6 linked regions of the Kluyveromyces lactis genome follow. The protein of the gene in region 1 purifies or fractionates together with the protein of each later gene. This does not show direct contact. Links are inferred from orthologs where the notes say so. Each region holds a gene or a part of one and is shown in the gene's direction. Other genes may lie near its edges. The genes, in order: PRP3, PRP6, LSM4, LSM8, BRR2 and LSM6.

Evidence for each region.
Region 2: the proteins of PRP3 (region 1) and PRP6 purify together in Saccharomyces cerevisiae (affinity purification with mass spectrometry; 5 studies listed by BioGRID). This does not show direct contact. The link is inferred for Kluyveromyces lactis from reciprocal best matches to the Saccharomyces cerevisiae genes PRP3 and PRP6.
Region 3: the proteins of PRP3 (region 1) and LSM4 purify together in Saccharomyces cerevisiae (affinity purification with mass spectrometry; 3 studies listed by BioGRID). This does not show direct contact. The link is inferred for Kluyveromyces lactis from reciprocal best matches to the Saccharomyces cerevisiae genes PRP3 and LSM4.
Region 4: the proteins of PRP3 (region 1) and LSM8 purify together in Saccharomyces cerevisiae (affinity purification with mass spectrometry; 4 studies listed by BioGRID, with this or other methods). This does not show direct contact. The link is inferred for Kluyveromyces lactis from reciprocal best matches to the Saccharomyces cerevisiae genes PRP3 and LSM8.
Region 5: the proteins of PRP3 (region 1) and BRR2 purify together in Saccharomyces cerevisiae (affinity purification with mass spectrometry; 8 studies listed by BioGRID, with this or other methods). This does not show direct contact. The link is inferred for Kluyveromyces lactis from reciprocal best matches to the Saccharomyces cerevisiae genes PRP3 and BRR2.
Region 6: the proteins of PRP3 (region 1) and LSM6 purify together in Saccharomyces cerevisiae (affinity purification with mass spectrometry; 3 studies listed by BioGRID). This does not show direct contact. The link is inferred for Kluyveromyces lactis from reciprocal best matches to the Saccharomyces cerevisiae genes PRP3 and LSM6.

What each region holds. Positions count from the first base shown.
Region 1 is NC_006041.1:826,655-830,019, forward strand, and holds PRP3 (U4/U6-U5 snRNP complex subunit PRP3), read left to right. Parts: upstream 1-1,589; coding exon 1,590-2,864; downstream 2,865-3,365. Other genes in the region: TMA17 (Tma17p), read right to left, coding at 381-863; HSP10 (Hsp10p), read right to left, coding at 3,192-3,365.
Region 2 is NC_006042.1:396,239-400,603, forward strand, and holds PRP6 (U4/U6-U5 snRNP complex subunit PRP6), read left to right. Parts: upstream 1-1,372; coding exon 1,373-4,030; downstream 4,031-4,365. Other genes in the region: PHO89 (Pho89p), read left to right, coding at 1-1,031. UniProt on the Saccharomyces cerevisiae protein: Participates in pre-mRNA splicing. Part of the U4/U5/U6 tri-snRNP complex, one of the building blocks of the spliceosome.
Region 3 is NC_006041.1:1,854,938-1,857,494, forward strand, and holds LSM4 (U6 snRNA complex subunit LSM4), read left to right. Parts: upstream 1-1,449; coding exon 1,450-2,001; downstream 2,002-2,557. Other genes in the region: SBF complex DNA-binding subunit SWI4, read right to left, coding at 1-386; TMN3 (Tmn3p), read right to left, coding at 2,489-2,557. UniProt on the Saccharomyces cerevisiae protein: Component of LSm protein complexes, which are involved in RNA processing and may function in a chaperone-like manner. Component of the cytoplasmic LSM1-LSM7 complex which is involved in mRNA degradation by activating the decapping step.
Region 4 is NC_006041.1:1,467,221-1,469,440, reverse strand, and holds LSM8 (U4/U6-U5 snRNP complex subunit LSM8), read left to right. Parts: upstream 1-1,392; coding exon 1,393-1,683; downstream 1,684-2,220. Other genes in the region: TDA10 (putative ATP-dependent kinase), read left to right, coding at 1-354; methylthioribulose 1-phosphate dehydratase MDE1, read right to left, coding at 1,722-2,220. UniProt on the Saccharomyces cerevisiae protein: Component of the nuclear LSM2-LSM8 complex, which is involved in spliceosome assembly. The LSM2-LSM8 complex plays a role in the biogenesis of the spliceosomal U4/U6-U5 tri-snRNP complex by accelerating PRP24-mediated annealing of U4/U6 di-snRNA.
Region 5 is NC_006039.1:1,579,236-1,583,618, reverse strand, and holds the end of BRR2 (ATP-dependent RNA helicase BRR2), read left to right. Parts: coding exon 1-3,867; downstream 3,868-4,383. Other genes in the region: TFIIH/NER complex ATP-dependent 5'-3' DNA helicase subunit RAD3, read right to left, coding at 3,960-4,383.
Region 6 is NC_006041.1:232,619-234,723, reverse strand, and holds LSM6 (U4/U6-U5 snRNP complex subunit LSM6), read left to right. Parts: upstream 1-1,321; coding exon 1,322-1,564; downstream 1,565-2,105. Other genes in the region: GTPase-activating protein RGA2, read right to left, coding at 1-207. UniProt on the Saccharomyces cerevisiae protein: Component of LSm protein complexes, which are involved in RNA processing and may function in a chaperone-like manner. Component of the cytoplasmic LSM1-LSM7 complex which is involved in mRNA degradation by activating the decapping step.

The sequences.
Region 1 (3,365 bases):
CCATGGCACAGTATATATGTCGATCATATCAAAATGAAATGAAATGTTAACGTGAACCTGATAGACTTTTTTCGCATCGACGTTTACAGATGGAAGAAAATGAATGCCACAGAGAACGGCCCAGCCTGCTGGAAACAGAAAAAGCTAAATGTTAAGAATGGTCTGTAGCAGATTCATTCCAGGGTTTTTCCCAGCAGATTACCAGCCCGAAACTAAGAGAAAGAAACCAGAACGGGTGCGTTTATTCATCTCTGAAAGTATACAGTTTTCCGAGGTCATACCAGCCCACACTTTTAAACATGCATTTTTGCTTTCATTCATTTTTTTTTTACTATACTTCAATATATGAGTACATTATATATATTTTGTTTGGAATGGGTTCATAAGTTAATGCTATTGGAACCAGTGGCATCAGCAGTATTATCTGAATCCACGCCAACGGTTCTCCGGCCTTGAGATTGCAAAGATCTTTTTAATTTTGTGGACGCCGATTGGATGTCACCGGAAGATACAGTGCTAGCCCTGTGCTGTTCTTCTAGGTCCAAAGCTTGTAGCCTTTCGTTATAATTATCCAATACTTTTCCATTTTCCGCTAATGAGTCTTGGAATACTTGCAAATCCTTCTCATCAATATCATCATCGGAAAAATTCCCTTCCGCGTCCAATTCTTGTCTGTTCAATACCTCTTCACCCTTAAGCTTGGCAACGTACGCTTCTAACCTTCTGTTAGATCTTTGTAAATGCTTCACTGCATTATTGATCTCTTTTCTGATCTCTTGTAATTCATGCTCAGACGATTCTCTAATAGCAATCACGAACTCTTGAATCTGAATTGGTCTACGAATACCAGAAGAATGTGCCATATTTCTATGTTAAGTCTATCCTTAGCTATGTATGTTTTTTCACTTTTTAGTCTTGTTTCGGTTGGAAAGTACGAGATGAATTAAGATCGGTATCCTTAACTATATATTCAAGCTAGCCTTTTATAACAATAATTTAAGCCAGAGTTTATTCTCTTACTATTTATACCCAACGGTAAGATATCACGCCCCACATATGACACCCACCCCTCCGAGGCACCATCATTGCAAATCAGAGTGTATGATGCGCACGTTACTATGCTGACTTTTTCCAGCTCCAAAGCAACACTACTTGTTAAAAATCACATCAGCTTTTCTGCTTTCCTTTCTCCTGGGCTGGATTTCCCCGCCTAAGTCCTTCTCTGGGAACTGAACTTTGTCCCTTTCAGCAAAGAGTTGAGAAACTCACGAGGAACACAAAAACAACGAGAATTAGGGGCCGCTTATGTAATTCTTTTCATCCCATAAAACAGAAAAATTGTGCTGTTTTGGCTTCCACCCATACACTACGCACAATCAGGGGTTGGTGCAATTTCGGATATATTACCCGGGCATGGTGAATTTCATCATAGGCGTTACAGAGTGAAGATGTGATTCAGATTCTATATGAGAGAGAGTTCATTGCGATGCTAGAGAAGAGATGGACAAAAGACAAATGGTGATGTGTAATAGTAACTACGGATTGTCTGGAATAATCGGCCCTTTGTACAAAAATCATATCATCATATAATGGGCAATGATAATAATACTAATAGAGGGTTAAATCGGAAATTGCATTCTGCATTGAGTGTTGAGAATGTCAATTTATTGAGATTTCAAGGTAGACGTTGTGGAAACCCATACTTGCAAGACGTACAGGCTCATGGTTTTGAGCCAAAGGCAAGAGTATCGTCTCATTGGTATGAACCGGGAGAGGTTGTCCAGCATGCTGCAAAATTAAGACAAGAGAACCGTGAAAAGTCTGAAGAAGAAAGAATACGATGGGAAGCTGAACTGGAGAAACAGCAGGAAATCGAACGGAAAATAGAAATAGGGGAACTACCTGATAAGCATGAAGAAGTTTATTTTACCGATTTATCGGACGTTCCTGATGTGGAATGGTGGGATGTTCCATATATCAAAGATGGTAGCATCCATGAGAAATATAGTTTGGATTATTCCACATTGAATTCGGACGATGAAAGTGATGATGAAGAGGAAGAGGAAGAGGAAGGTGCACAAGATAAATTCCCAAGTATTAGGTATATTCAACATCCGGTACCGATTGAAAGGCCTAGGGCAGCTGTTCCAGTGGCAGAGATTTTCTTAACGAAAAACGAACGGAAAAAGGCCAGAAGGAATACGAGGAAGTTGGTACGACAGGAGAAGGAGGAGAAAATCAAGCTTGGTATAGAACCAAAACCAGAGCCCAAGGTTAAATTATCGAATATGATGAATGTGTATGAGAATGATGCCAATATTGCGGATCCAACTCAATGGGAATCCATCGTACGGAGACAAGTGGCAGAGAGGAAAAGGAAACATTTCGAAGAAAATGAAATAAGGCATCAAGAAAGCCTGAAACGAAGGAAGGAATCCCAGTTACAAGCACACAGCAATGATAGTCCTCTAGAATACACGTGTGTTGTTTACATGTTTGACGAAATACAGAATCCTAGTATCAGATACAAAATCAAAACCAACGGTAAGCAATTGAAGTTGAAAGGATGCTGTCTACACATTCAAAATGGCAAAGGTATAATTGTAGCTTTTGGAGATGAAAAATCTATCCGCTTTTTCGATAAGTTGGTGACAAAGCGAATCAATTGGTCGGAACCATACAAAGATAGAGATACCGAAGAGACAGTACCTTGCGACGGTAAAATTACAAAGGTTTGGCAAGGATTAATTGGTGATTGTAGATTCAAGGGCTGGTTCATGCTCGATTGTAAAGATAAAAACCAGTTAAATAATATCTTAGAGCAGCACGATGCATTGACTTTTGTACCATTAGGTAAGTTTTAACAAACAATTACGTACTGAAAATGAAATCCAAGTTCGAAATCATCAAAATTTTGGAATAAAAGTAATAGTGTATGTTAAAAAAAATAAAACCGGAGTAAATCCAACGACCTACTTAGAACATTTATTTACATGGGGTGAGTAGGCAGTCCAAGTGACGCACAATGGTCAACATTATTGAGTTTTATCACTACCAACATCAAAAAAAAGTCATATTTATATAAATAATATCTCCCTTCGTCTCTCAAAATTCAATCATCAATAACAGAGAAAGATACTGGCTCATAACATCGTTCTTTAAATTTAATTCTGGTGTAACGTTCGAGACCTTTATTCGACGACCTTGGCCAAGATTTCAGAGTCTCTGAATAAAACGACTTCATCATCCTTGCCCAACTTGATTGTGGATCCACCGAATTGTGGGATCAAAACTTGGTCACCTGGTTGGACAGATGGTGTAATCTTGTTACCGTTGGAATCGGTGAAACCTGGACCAGCAGCCAA
Region 2 (4,365 bases), on another chromosome or scaffold:
ACCCATACTACAGAAGAAGAATCTTGCACAGAGACTGGACCCTAAAATGGTATGATATTTACAGAGGCCCAACTTTCTACTTCAAGTCCACTGACGACATTCCACCTCTACCTGCTGGACAATCTTTAACCATTGATTACTACGAAGGTAGAAGATTCGAAGATGAAACTGCCGGAGATGATGAAACCCAAATTGAAACTTCCCACACCGCCGATGGAAGAGATACTGTAGAGGGACATATTGAAATTAACGACAAGGAATCTGTCAACCAAAGTATCAAATTGGTGCAAACAGAAACTTTGCAAGAAGAAAAACCAACTACCAAACAGCTATGGTGGTCATTGCTAAAACAAGGACCAAAGAAGTGGCCTCTATTACTTTGGTTGATTGCTTCTCACGGTTGGACTCAAGATGTTATTCATTCTCAGGTCTACGATACAGGTGCTTTGTCAACAGATTTCAAGGACATGTACAAGAGATCTGCCTTCTATGACAACAGAATCGAATTCATCTATTCTATCTTGCAAGCTATTACCGCCGCCACTATGTCTTTTGCTCACGGTGCCAATGATGTTGCCAACGCCACTGCACCACTAGCTGCCGTGTATGACATCTGGCAGAAAAACACTGTGGAATCTAAGTCTGACGTTCACACATGGGTTTTAGCATACTGTGCCGCTGCATTGGTCCTCGGTTGTTGGACATACGGTTACAGAATCATCAAGAACTTGGGTAACAAGATGATTTTGCAATCTCCATCCAGAGGGTTCTCCGTTGAACTTGGTGCTGCTGTTACCACTGTTATGGCAACACAATTAAGTATTCCTGTTTCTACTACTCAAGTTGCTGTCGGTGGTATTGTGGCCGTTGGTCTTTGTAACAGGGATTTGAAATCCGTTAACTGGAGAATGGTCGCTTTCTGTTACAGTGGTTGGTTCTTAACTCTTCCAATGGCTGGTCTCATTGCAGGTATCTTGAACGGTATCATCTTGAACGCACCACGTTACGGTGGAGATTACCAATTATCATAATCATCAGATTGATATTTTCTTTCTCATGGCCTCAGCGCCTTTTAGGAACTTTCATTAATTAATTGTTTGTGCACTAGCTAGATAATAGTTTATCTGCTACAAATATAGAACATATTCGGTATTATAGATTCTGCAAATTTCCTCATATATTAGCCTGCATATTTAATTCTTTCTAAGCAGAATCGATATTTATTTCTATCAACGCTTATTCTCTATTGTTTTAAGAATCTGTAGAATATCTTTAAAAACAAAACCTTTAAAATTTGTATCGAAAGGACATCTCATACAGTAAACTATTCACTAGTAAATCATCTGAGTAAACAACTATCACGGTGATAGGCATGGAGACTCCCAGTTTCCTAAAACAATCTCCACCACCTGGTTACATCGCTGGTATAGGTCGTGGAGCGGTTGGCTTTTCCACCAGAGGAAGTAAAGATGATAAAAGAGTTCCTGCTAGATTGAATAGATATGGGCGAGATGCACCAGATACTTCTGTAACAAAGAATCCAAATAGATACAGATCAGCAGTTTCGAATGAATCATCGGAGAAACAGGTTAAAGATGAAGACGAACAAGAGATGAGAGTGTACGAAAAGATCGAACAGCGACTTAAGAATAAAAAAATTATCGACAATGAAACAAGCCTAAAGACGAAGCCAGATGATGAACCAGACAAGCTATCTTCTAAATTTGTAGATTTGAAGCGTAATTTAGCAACTCTTTCTGAGCAAGACTGGCTGGATATCCCTGACGCATCTGATATGACCAGACGAAACAAAAGGAATCGAATAGAGGAACAACTTGAAAGGAAAACATTCGCTGCTCCTGACACTTTGTTCCAGGTTAATGTCAACTTATCCAAGTTAACTGAAGAGAGGGAAAAGTTACTTGCTGTCCAGATAGATAAGAGTTTTGATTACAGCAAAAGTCAACTTACGGATGATGCTGAATACTTGAATAGAATGAACCAAGATGACAACACTATTTCATCTACGGATTTGGAAGACATTAGGAAAAACAGATCCCTATTAGCCGCGTATCGTAAATCCCATCCAAGAAATCCAGAAAACTGGATTTCTTCAGCAAGAATCGAAGAAAGAGCCAATCAGTTCAATCGAGCCAAAAGTTTGCTAGCGGAAGGTTGTAAACTGTGCCCTAAAAGTGAAGCTATCTGGTTAGAATCGATACGCATGAACGCATCCGATAAAGAATATTGCAAGAGGTTGGTTACAGTTGCCTTAAGGCTCAACGAGTTTAGTGAGCAGTTGTGGTTGAAGGCAATCGCCCTCGAACAACACAATACTGATAAAATTAAAGTCACTCGAAAGGCTCTAATTAAACTACCACTAAGCTCTATATTATGGGAAGTGGCGGTAAATCTTGAAACTTCCACTCTTGAAAAGCTGAAAATTTTGAAGAAAGCAGTTGAATTAGTGCCGAAGGATTCGCAGTTATGGTTGAAGTTGATAAGGTTACAATCAGTCGAATCTGCAGTGGACACCTTGAAATCTGCTGAAGAACATATTAAAAAAGACATCACATACTGGCTTCTCAAATGTCAACTCGAAGAAAAAAGAACGACCGCAAATCTCGATACGTTGGTAAATATCATTTCTAGCGCAATAAAGGATCTTCATGAACTGGAAGTTAATCCAACTATTACTGAGTGGTTCGAAAATGCAGTCGCTATATCAACAGAAGGATTGTATCCATTAACAGCGAAAGCAATCATCACAGCTACCATCAATAACTTATTTGAAGACGCATCCTCAAATTTCCAAAGTCTCTCGAAGCTGTTGGTAAACGACACCACACTTCAGTGTACCTTGTTTTCCTCCTTCCTAATCAAATATCCAACAAAGTACTCTATTTGGAAGGAGTTCACCAATTTCGCCGAAGACTTTTCGCGGAAATTAGAGCTACACGAAACATTCAGGAAGATCCTCTTTACAGATTCTCAAGCGGTAAAGAAATACCCTGTCTTGGTTTTAATGTATGCGAAAGACGTTTGGGATTGGGGTTCTGGTTCCACTGAAGCGTTGTCGATTTTAGATAAAGCTCTGGTGACAAATTCGGCGTATCCTGAGTTTTGGTTGGCTAAACTCAAAATTTTGAACAGAGATGGCAAATTGGATGAGATTATAAATTCCTTTGAAGAAGCCGAATCACACTTGGTAGAATGCATTGATAAATTAGTTCCTTTTTACGTTAAGTGTTTGCAATCTAAAGGCAGTTTGGAAATAGCTCATTCTACTGTTGATATAGCTTTGGCACGTGAACCAAACGACAAACATTTACTAATCTTGAAAGCACAGCTATACAGGCAACAAAGGGACCTTTCATCAGCGAAGCGTGTGCTACAGAGGGCTACGGATATTTCTAATCATGATCCAGAAGTGTGCTTGGAGTTCTCCAGACTGGTAATGGAAACACAAGATTGGGGCAAAGCGCGTTCAATACTCAGCGTTTCTCTACTAAAGAATCCAAAATCCGATACACTCTACGAGGCTCTCATTACATTGGAACTGCAAGTGAAAGATAACAAACAAGTAACGTACCTCATCGCTCAGGGTCTCAAAGCGTGTCCACACAGCTGGAGGCTCTGGTGTCTAAACATCAGAACCCTTCCTAAAAAATCACTACGTAAAACCACATTCCAAGATGCTCTCGAAGCTACAAAAGAGCATCCAATGGTGATAACTGAGATCGGAAAAGTGTTCCAAAAGGAACACCAATACGCGAAGGCATATAAATGGTTCATAAGAGCCTCGGAAAATAATCTTCAATTTGGGGACCCATGGGTATGGCTCTACATCTGCGAGTCGTGCATGAATCCAGTTGATTTGCAAATAAATGAAGAAAAAACGTTAAAGAAATTGAAAGAAAATGAACCCAGGTACGGTATACTATGGGAGCCCGCAGTAAACTCATACCTACACATATCAAACTCTCCGATTGATATTTTGCACAGCATTATCAACAATTTACACCAATAATTAGATAGAATGTAAGATTGTAAGATTGTAATAATAAAAATTGGGACAACACTGATGCGACTGTAAATTGACTTTCCGCATTGTCAGAAGTTCCGTTCCTCAATCGTAACTAACCCAGTATATGCGGCAGTTCTGTGTATTTTTCCGTTGTGATCTGATTCTCTGCTATGAAAGAGTCAGCTCTTATATCTATCAAAGAGAACTTTTTCCAGTGGAATTTGAAAATTTGAAAACGAACAACCAAAATGGAACTTCGAAATTGCGAAGAGTATTGGTAGTCGACAGGGATCGGAGGTGAAGTGAAAAACATCGATAGCAGCTGTTGAGAGTCTTAA
Region 3 (2,557 bases), about 1.0 Mb from region 1:
TTCAACCAATTATCGTTGCATCTTCTCATGATAAGGCATGGAGGTTTATCTTTGGTATAACATTCATATACATCAACGCCCGCGTATGTAGCAACTTCAATGAAAGTTTCCGATTCGCTGTCATAACCACTTGTCTCCGCCATAGTAGGTTCCTCACTGATTTTCTTTAAACTCCCATCGATCTGCCTTTCATCGATCATCGAAGAGGATGCTCCCGTGGATGAAGAAGAATTATTGGTAGCACCACTATTAGCTCCTAATAAATTAGAATTGAACGGTTTCAAAAGTGTATCATTCTCAGAATGATGATGAGTGCCCATGTGCATTTGAAGGATAGATTCCTTGTCAAAAACGTTGCCGCTATGATGCGACAAGTGTTGTTCCATAATTACACGAAAGAAATAAATGCACACGAAATCCTAATTGTTTTAGACAAAACAAAGCAAAGAAAAGCACGCCAGAGTCAACAAAGCGTTTCGAGTCGAGTGTCACCTTCTGCTGCTGCTTCTGCTTCTGCTCCTGGCAATGTGATCTCAAGCTCGCTCACTTTGTAAAATTCAACGTAAAATATACCACGCAGTTACGGTTATTCTAGCTTTTCCACCAGTGCCCAAAAATGTATCCAGATATCGGAGTAGCAGACCAAATCAATCTCAACTGGAATGCTCTGATATTTAGCTAAGTTCACGTAGCCTACAGACACTGTTAATAACAAAGGTATACACAAATCATAAATGACATTGTAAAGTGCGTGAGAAAGTCTGCTTTCAAAAGATTATAATCTTTATTTTAAACTGTGATCAAATCTCTTTACCCAATTGGGAAAAGAAAGATTAGATGCCTCACCAAAAAAAAAATCTCAGATCTCACATTTCAAACCTCACTCCAGTGTGTTCCCATATTCAAAGCTGAGGCAACCTTTCAAAACGCCTAGAAGGGTCCGTATGACACGAAGGAGTAGGGGGGCAGAAACAGTCTTAAAAGTGAAAAAATAAGAGAAAAATCAATAATCAGATTATATTCACGTGTCAGTATTACCCGGGACACTCACGTGATTCGAAACTTTTAAGTGTTACCCGGTAAATGAATTTTATGAAATGTCGAGAATGCTTTTTCCAGCTCAATGAAATTTGGAAAAACTGAAGTTATATTGTAATTGGAATTTAAATATTGTCAATGCAATTGTATGCATTTGGTTCGTCCTACTAGGGAGTGTTACATAACTCAAACTACAGATACGCAGATAAGCAACAAAGTCTAATTCATACTTTTTTCCCTCACATTTTTCCTTCTCCAGACAGACAGAGTCCTAATTTTTTGGTATATTGTATATTGTTCCGGCCCCACCCTTTCCTACGATTAAGTTACTACGGTTTGAGATACCTAAAGAAATACGACAGCACGGGCACACTATAATTGGTAAAACAGATCAATAAGTTATAACATAAAATGCTTCCATTATATTTATTGACCAATGCAAAGGGTCAAACAATGCATGTTGAACTAAAAAATGGAGAAACTGTGGAAGGTACGCTATCTGATGTAGACAATTGGATGAACTTGACACTTTCCAATGTCACTCATGTAGCTAGTGGAGAGACTTTGAAATTACCAAGCTTCTATTTGAAAGGTTCTTTCATCAAGTATGTTAATTTGCAAGATGATATCATAGACAAGGTAAAACAACAATGGGGTCAAAACAGAGGCGGTAAAGACGATAGAAGAAGAAATAACAACTACAATAATAACAATAATTATTATCAGAATAGGGATGGTAACAGAAGAGGTGGTAGAAGAAACTATCAAAACTCAGGTAACAGAAGGGATTACAACAACAACAATAATAATAATAATAATAATAATAACAATACTCACAGCCATAACAATGCAGGATCTCGTCGTTATAATATTCAAAATAGATCACAATACGATGCATCATCCAATCCACAGCTTTCGTATTCGCAGGCGTCAAACAATAGTAATCAAACTCCACAATTTTGATTTAACCTCTTTTCTCAGCATTTAATTCTTAAGTATTTGTGTGTCTACATGGTTACATATTCAATCACTTTTATTGCGGTTAAAGAGACTATTTTGTTGGCTTGGACGGTCAAAAGTCTATAAAAACATCTGTTTCGATTGCATTCGATGCGATATCCTAAACCTTTTTCTCGTTACTCCTTTCACACTTTTGAGATTTAAAACTGAATTTGGGTTATGAAATTAAAAGAACTACCTATTAATTATGATTCAGAGTTAGTGAACCTTAAGTTCAAAGCAGTATATCAGTGCTTTATATATTAAGAGTATGTGAGCATGGGTACCGTGGAAAAGATCAAATGTTGTTATTTTTTAAATTACTCTATACAAAAATGCTTGGTTTAGAAAGTCCATGCTAGATATGCAGTATTATATAGGAGAAATATGAGACTCCTGAAGAGAGCCGGACTTTTTTTTTTTGGCCTCACTTTAAATATAAGAGGCGAACTTATTTAGCCTTGTTATATTCATTCAGCTTACCGATGAACCACAATGAGCTTAGGTAACTTAAAGATCC
Region 4 (2,220 bases), about 640 kb from region 1:
ATACTGTTGAACCACCAGTTGTTACATCTGAAACAAGTGAACCGTTCGTTGAAAGAGTACGGACAATTGCTATGGAATAATGAGTCATTGGATACTGTCGGTATCAAGTTCGCAACTGACGACACCAACAATGTATATAGGTGGAGGTTACAACAAGAGCATGCTATGCTAGCATCTCAGGGCGAAGGAATGACTGATGCGCAAGTGAAGGCGTTTGTTGATAGATATATGCCTTGTTATGAACTATATTATAAAAACTTCATTGACCCGAACACCGCGTTCGGCAAAACAAATCTTACCATTGCCATCGATGCCGACAGAAATGTGGTCAATCATTTCATTTCGCACTCTTGAACTTCTTCCCAGGGGATTAATACCCTGAGTCGTTGTGTCTGGTTTTGATTTAGGTGTTGAGATTCAGGCGTAGCGATAGATTCATGTCTCAATCTTTTCTCAAGCAACGCCTGCCTCTTGCTAGCTAACCTCATATCTTCATGCAACGTCTGGATGGCATCCGTGAGGTCTTGCATTTGTTGCACGACATTGAACATGACATTTTCATTCATGGTAAATCTGTCCATCCATTCTCGATGTCGTTTATCCATCTGCTTCGTAATATTATCCGCTAAAAGTTGCAAACTTTCACCGCTTGATGCCTTTAATTGATCCAAACGAGACTTTACTTCAGAGACAATCTCCGTTCCCGTTTCTTGATTACCATCTAAATACACACAGAAATAACGGCGACTTCTCGGAGTCTCATCCGTTATTTTCCTAGTTAGTAAAAACTGACCGTAGTGACTCTTACAAAGAATCATTCCTAAAGGGTATCAATCAACGACCAATCCACGTAGATAGAACTAAGTAAATGCCCTTATACTAAGTAGATATTCCTTTCATTGTGCATAGAAACCATACCTTTTCTACTGTCAAGTTCTGCTTGGAATAACTTTCGCGAATGGCTCAATTCATCCACGTTCTCCTTGATAATCTTGAATAGACTCTCAGACGTGTCCCGCAACTGCACAGTCTCCAACTCTAGACGACTAGTCCATTCTAAGATCTGTTTGTCGGCGTCTGGAATCTTTTTAAAGGGAGAAGACCCGTAATCGGTCTCACTTTCATTCTCTTCCGCCATTTCAACCGTGATTCGGAGCTTCTAACAATATTAGCCACAACACAACTCTAGATAACTGCTGTAGAAGCCTGTATACTTCTGTTATGATGTGTGATTCTTCTTTGTTGAAGATGTTGTTGTTATTGATAATAGAGAATCTTCAAATAGAAAACATTACTTTCAAATTATAATAGTAACGAAGAAAAGATAACGATCCATCGGAGCGAAGATATCCACATAACTGCCCCCTTGTTTGCTAGAACAGTGAATGGACAATGAGTGCTCTATTGAAAGATTATTTGGACAAGAAGGTGATGTTGGTCAATGTCGATGGAGACACATACTATGGTGAAATGAAAGGGTTTGATCATGCGGGAAACATGATTCTTTTAAAGGACAGCAAGATATGCATTATACGGAGTAGTGAAGTGGTATTATGTGGGCTGATAGATGATATACCAGAAGAAAAAGAACTGGCAAAACTTCAGAAGTTCCCAGCGTGTAAGAATAAGTTACCGTTTAAAGAAGAAATAGACATTTGGAGTGAGCGATGGGCTAACAGATGAAATATAAATAATGTTATACACAGCTGCTGGTCTCCCTTTCATTGACCGAGTTCTTTCATTTTGAGAGCTACTTCAAAGAGGTAATCGATGGACTCGATGTATATCTTGGCTTTCTTTGGCGTGGGGCCCCAAACGAAGAGTCCATGTCTTTTCACCAGTACCGCACATGCATTTGGATAATCCTTAATCATTTGCTTCAACGCTGGCATGAGATCCTGTTCTTCTGGAGCGTTATCGATGATTGGAATACGTAGGGTATCAACGTTCCTCAAATTGGTACCGTCACCTTTGGGTATCGCCTTGATTTGTTCAATGTCCTTGATGGTAAACTCCTTCTCATATATCATTGAACAAAGCACCGCATTGATAGAGTGCGTGTGTATGACGCACGAGGCACCCAGCGTCTTGAATAGCTCCAGGAATAACGGTGTGCACGCAGAGGGTTTCAATCCAGGCGCACCACATTGATAAGTATCGTCCTGTATATTGTATTTAACAATTTGTTCAGGTTCCAACAGTTCTTTCTCAATGCCACTT
Region 5 (4,383 bases), on another chromosome or scaffold:
CAAATGTTAGGAAGAGCTGGTAGGCCGAGATACGACGTAAATGGTGAAGGGATCATTATTACAAACCAATCAGACGTACGTTATTATCTCGCTGTGTTGAACCAACAACTCCCTATAGAATCTCAAATGATTTCAAAAGTTGTTGATAATCTTAATGCTGAAATAGTTCTAGGTAACGTCACCTCACTAGATGAAGCAGTTAACTGGTTGGGTTATTCCTATTTATCAGTACGGATGAAGCAATCACCTCATTTATACAACTTGCAAGGTTCTTCAGGAGACATGAGTGATGCTGAGCTCATAAGAGTCAACAGAAATATTGTGCATACGGCGTTGAATTTATTACAGAATAACGGTCTTGTAAACTATGACTCTCTTTCTAAGTCGGTACAACCAACTGAGCTAGGTAGAATATCCTCTCATTTCTACATAAGTTATTCGTCAATTGCAAAATACAACCGGGAGTTAACAATAAACAGCACTTTGATCGACATTCTGAGAATATTTGCTATGTCAGAAGAGTTTAAGAACATTACCGTAAGACAAGAAGAGAAAACTGAATTAGAGAAACTCGTCGAGCGTTGTCCAATTCCGATCAAGGAGAAGGCTACTGATTCATTAGCCAAGGCAAACATTCTACTTCAGGTGTACATTTCAAAATTACGATTGGAGGGGTTCGCTTTAAATGCGGATATGATTTACATTTCTCAGAGCGCAGGTAGACTTTTCAGAGCACTCTTCGAAATGTGCTTAAGAAAAGGATGGCCAAGACTAACCAAGCTTCTGCTTACCATCTGTAAATGCGTCGATAGCAGAATGTGGCCCACGAACTCACCATTTAGGCAATTCAAGAGATGCCCTCAAGAAATCATAAGACGAGCAGAAGCGTCTGGTTTACCCTGGAACGATTTCTTACTGTTGAAGAATGCTCATGAGGTAGGCGAAGCCTTAAGATCTCCAAAAAATGGTAAAGTTGCTTTCGATTTGCTTCAAAGATTCCCGAAGATTGGCATTCACTGCGCAATGCAGCCAGTTACAAATTCACTACTTCGTTTTGAGTTGGAACTCCAACCTACATGGATCTGGGATCTGGATTCCAGCAGCTATTCTGAAACATTCCTTGTTCTTGTCGAAGACACAGACGGTGAACAAACAATTTATCATGAGACATTGCATGTTGGGAGAAATGCAATAAACAGCATTGTGTATCTTGACTTTGTTGTATTTTTGAAGCAGAAAATGTTACCGCCGAACTATTTTGTATCCGTTATATCAGAAAAATGGCTAAACTGTGAGTACAAGATTCCTGTTATTTTGAGTGAAATAAAATTACCTAAACCATTCCCTCCTGCAATATCTGTTTCTGATTCAATTAAGAAAAGTACCAAGGAACTACAAATTGATGAATTTGAGGCGTTATACAATTTCCATTCTTTCAATAAAGTTCAAACTGAAGTTTTCGATACATTATACCATGAAACTGAAAACGCACTAATATGTGCAACAAAAGGTTCCGGTAAAACAATAATGGCAGAACTTTCATTATTGAACCATTGGAGAGAAGGCAGAGGACGTGCGATTTACATTTGTCCATTCAAAACCAAGATAACTGAACTTCTAAAGAATTGGAAAAAGCGATTCTCACATTTGGCTGGTGGAAAACTGATCAATGCTTTTTCTGGAAATTTGCAGCACGATCAAAAACAATTAGCCCAATCTCATCTAATATTAGCTACTCCGAATGAATTTGAATACCTGTCTCGTCGCTGGCCGGAAAGAAAAAACATTCAAAGAATAGAACTAATTATTTGTGATGACATCCATGAAATAGGCAACGAGATAATTGGACCGATGTATGAAATCATAATTACGAGAATGATTTTCATTGCAACACAATTGGAGAAGAATATAAGGATTGTGGGGCTTGGAACCCCACTTGCCAACGCAAAGGATTTCGGAGAATGGTTAGGTGCAAAAAAATCAAGTATTTTCAATTTTACTGCTTTAGAAAGGCAAACACCCTTGACAGTCGATATCGAAACTAGCATTTTAGTAAAAAGCCCTACTTCTAATCGAATGGCCCTAACTGAGATCGTTGAAAGTAGTAATCGTGTCGCCTCACCCGATGAAACTATAACAGTTTTCGTCACTGACAGATATGAATGCGTTTCTTTCGCGACAGAACTCGTTGGTCTCGCTGTTGCTAAAGGCATTGATCTTCTTAGAGCAGAGGAATCCAGTTTACACTCGTATCTCAACAAGGTCCAGGACAGCAACCTCAAGACACTGTTGCAAAGTGGTATAGGAATTCTATACCAAGGTATGCATTATTCCGATAGGAATGTAGTCCGTAAGCTCCATGAATACAAGGTGATATCGATTTTGGTTGCAAGTAGGGATTGTTGTTTTGATGCCCCTTCATCAAGTTTTGTCTTTGTTACTACAACTCAATATTTTGAAGGCAGGGAGAACAGATACATCGATTATCCTGTAAATACTATTCTTGAGATGATGGGAACAGCGTTTACGGCGTCAAATAAACAGCAAGCACATGCAAAACTAATCACCACAATGCAAAGGAAGGAATACTATAAAAAATTCCTTTGTGATGGGTTACCAACGGAGAGTTCTCTGCCATACCATGTTATTGATTTACTTACAACGGAGTTTGCAAACCAAACATTAGAAACCAAGCAAGACTGTATCGACCTTTTAACTTACACTTATCTATATCGTAGAATACATGCAAATCCAAGTTTCTACGGTATTCAAGATGTGACTGCAGACGAAATTTCCTCCTATTTAACAGAATTAGTAGAGGAAGCAGTAACAACCATGAAGGAAACCGAGCTTATATCAGTTGAAGGGGAAGCGAACGATTCCACAGAAATTGCAGAGGAGGTAATTTCCCCGAATAATGCCTGTCTTATTTCTGCTATCCATGCCGTAAGTTGTTTAACGATATGCAATTTTAGCCGAGCAGCATCAAGATCACTAAGAATGAGCGGTATTCTTGAAATTTTGTCTTCAAGTGAAGAGTTTAAGACATTGCCTCTTAGATTACATGATATAAAGCCATTAAGAAAATTATACGACATTTCACCTTTGAAGTTGTCCTCCGAATTCGATCCACGCTCCACAACAGCCAAGGTTTTTGTGTTATTGCAGGCCCATTTTTCAGGTCTTCATTTACCCATGGACTTATCACTTGATTTGTCTGAAATCCTTTCAAAAGCACCTAGCTTAGCAGGAACAATGGTAGATATATTGTCAATGAACGGTTATTTGAATGCCACTACTGCTATGGATTTAAGTCAAATGATTGTTCAAGGTGTGTGGGATACTGATTCACCTTTGAAACAAATTCCATTCTTTGATACAGACATCTTGGAGAAATGCAAAAACCATAATGTAGAAACAGTTTATGACGTGATGGCTTTAGAGGATGAAGAAAGAGAAGATATCATCACTTTACCGGAAAATAAGTTGAATAAAGTCGCAGAATTTGTCAACAGTTATCCAAACATTGAGTTGAAGTATGCTCTAGATATGTCAGCACCGATGAAACCTCACGACAAAAAAATGGTTACTGTAACAGTAAGTAGAGATGAAGAACCAGAAACACTAAATGTTAGCTCAAAGTCGTTGCCACATGAAAAAACTGAAGCATGGTGGATATTCATCGGTGAAAAGAGCTCCAGGCAGCTATATGCTATCAGGAAGATCGCGCTTACAAAAATGACCCAGGACTACGAATTGGAAATCGAATTGGAAGATCCTGGTGATCATGAACTAACAATATGGTGTGTATGTGATTCTTACTTGGATGCCGATAAGGAAGTAACATTTAATGTTAACATCGCATAGTAAATGCATAAATAAAAAGAAAGTACTGTATATATGCAGTGAATATAAATTAAAATAAAATTCTTTCTATAAGCAGAGTAGAATCCCTTTATCTAATCCTTCATTTCAATGTCCCCGTCATTATCCTTGACTTCTGTCACATCCGAATCAACAAACCCGTTATGTTGCTTTTTCTTAACACTTTCTTGGTGCGCCAGTAACTGTGCATGACTCCACACAGATACACCTTCTTGATCTTTTGGATCAGTTGGTTGTGCCATGGTTCGCAAAAATTGCTTAGTATTGGCGATAGCCATATCCGTGGACAAGTTCATGTCGGCATCAGATAAACCTTGTGCAATCCATTTTGGTAGTTGACTTTTCTTCCTTGCAAATCTACGGTCTGCCAACACCATTACACCGTAGTCATCTTTACCACGTAAAACTCTACCTAAGCATTGAGCTGCATGTCTCATTGCATCAAAAGATAAAAAGTCATTCTCTCGGATCTGGTAATTCTCACGTAAGAACTCTAGT
Region 6 (2,105 bases), about 590 kb from region 1:
GTCCGAGCACTCGAAACATATGAGATCACTTGTACCCAGAACTAAGAAATCCGAGTCACAACTTAGAGGCTTATCACATTTGTAGCAGGAGAAACAGTGGGTGTGCCATCTATTTCCGCCTAATTCGTACGCATGACCCATAGTAATATGGTTCGTACAACGAACACATACTGACGTCTCAGCAGCCCCCTTCGGAGAGGCAGACATACGGTAATTAGTTTTGCAGATGTAGCACGCTGTGGAGGTGATGGTCTTGTAGTGTGTTCGTTTGTCCCTGGATCAATAACTTTTTGATCTAATGGATCAAAAGCTGAAAAGAAATCTAAGATTAATCTTCGAATCGAAAGTATAATAATAACAGAACACGCACAAAGAGCACGACACACCAAAAAAAAAAAAAAGTTAATAGAGAGATGTATTAGCAGCGGCTTTATACTATGATATTTTCTTGCCACGCACCGTTAGAGAGTACTATATAAGGGAAAAGAATTCCAAGCTGTTCCTCGTGGACGGAGTAAATTCCCTCAATATGAATGTTGAGATCGAAATATAGATACGAGGGTTCAATTAACTCAAGGAATGTTTTGATCGAGAGTGAATGCAGCCCTATCTTGTTAAAATCCGAAACGTTTGAAGCGAGTTGATATAAATAAATCGTGTCTCAATCTTGATTATATATATGTACAATCGGTCCTAACCAGTGCTAAATATGGAAGTCAATTAGATAGGGAAACGTAAACAGCACACCACGTCAATTATATTCTAGCTGAATTGATATAGCATATCTATCAGCTGCAGAGAGCCACTAAGGTAAATTAGTGCTGTCTCTCAACGGTTTCGAAATGTATATATGCATTGAAACAAAATCAGGAACCAGGTTTGAGAATGTTTGAACTATGTGGTGTGCAGGCGTGATTTGGAGTTCAGTTTCTTTGTTTCAAGGTCTTAGAGTTCGAAGATTTTGGCTAAAATTGGAGTCAAAGAATGCTGGTTGTTGTCGGAATGTATCCAGGAAGAACCTTTGACATTTGTTTCCAAGCTAGAGCAATATATTACTATAATCTGCGCTGTTCCCTTCCATTCATTTAATTAATTAATTTATTACTTACTGCATATCACTTAATTCACTTTACCACAGATCACGTGACTAGAACATTCTTTCCCTTTTACTTCAACGTGAACAATGAAAAGTGAACTTTGTTAATATAACGTTGAACTGATGGAGAATGATGAGAGTAGGTTCAGATGCAAGAACTACAGGCTTCTTCATATCTTTATTTCGACGCTACCAAATTTCAAAGGCATAGATTGTTAACACATCATGGAATCTAAGGCAACGGCTTCTGGCTCCTTTTTGGAGAACATCATTGGAAAACCAGTATACGTCAAGCTATTCTCAGGAATATTGTATCAAGGTAAGCTAGAATCAATTGATGGGTTTATGAACGTCACAATGTCACAAGTGTCGGAACATTATGAGGCAGAAGAGAACGGAACTTTGCATAAATATCCTTCTGAAGTATTTCTAAGGGGATCGCAGGTGTTATACATTAGCGAAAAATAGGCTTCGATTGGGCAATAAGATTGACTTCGACCAATGACTTTTGTAAGTCGATATTATAAAGTGTCCTATTTGCTCAGAAGCTCAATAACTACAATAATATGATAATACTAATAATAATTTATATACAAAAGTATATAATTGTATACTATAAAGATGGAACGTTATCAAAGCGGAAAGTGTTAAAAAATACTACGATGCACATATATAAAGCACCAAAGCATACATAAATTTAAATTCTGATTTTATTTTAAAATAATAAGAATATGTAGATATCTAATACAATAATAATATATATTAACCTTGTACCAGTGAGTTATACATTACTCTTTTCAAATTTTTATATCATGATTCTTAAAAGAGAAAATTTATTGTCATATCGTTAGAGAAAAGGAGATCAAAGAGGTTCCTTTCGTAGTTTCTTATTTATTCTGTGATAAAGAAAGCTTTCAGATCAAACAAACCGCGAACCTCATATCATGTTGTAGTTTTTTTTTGAGAATATATTAAAGAGAATAGAAGGTGGAACAAGTGAGGGCTGTAC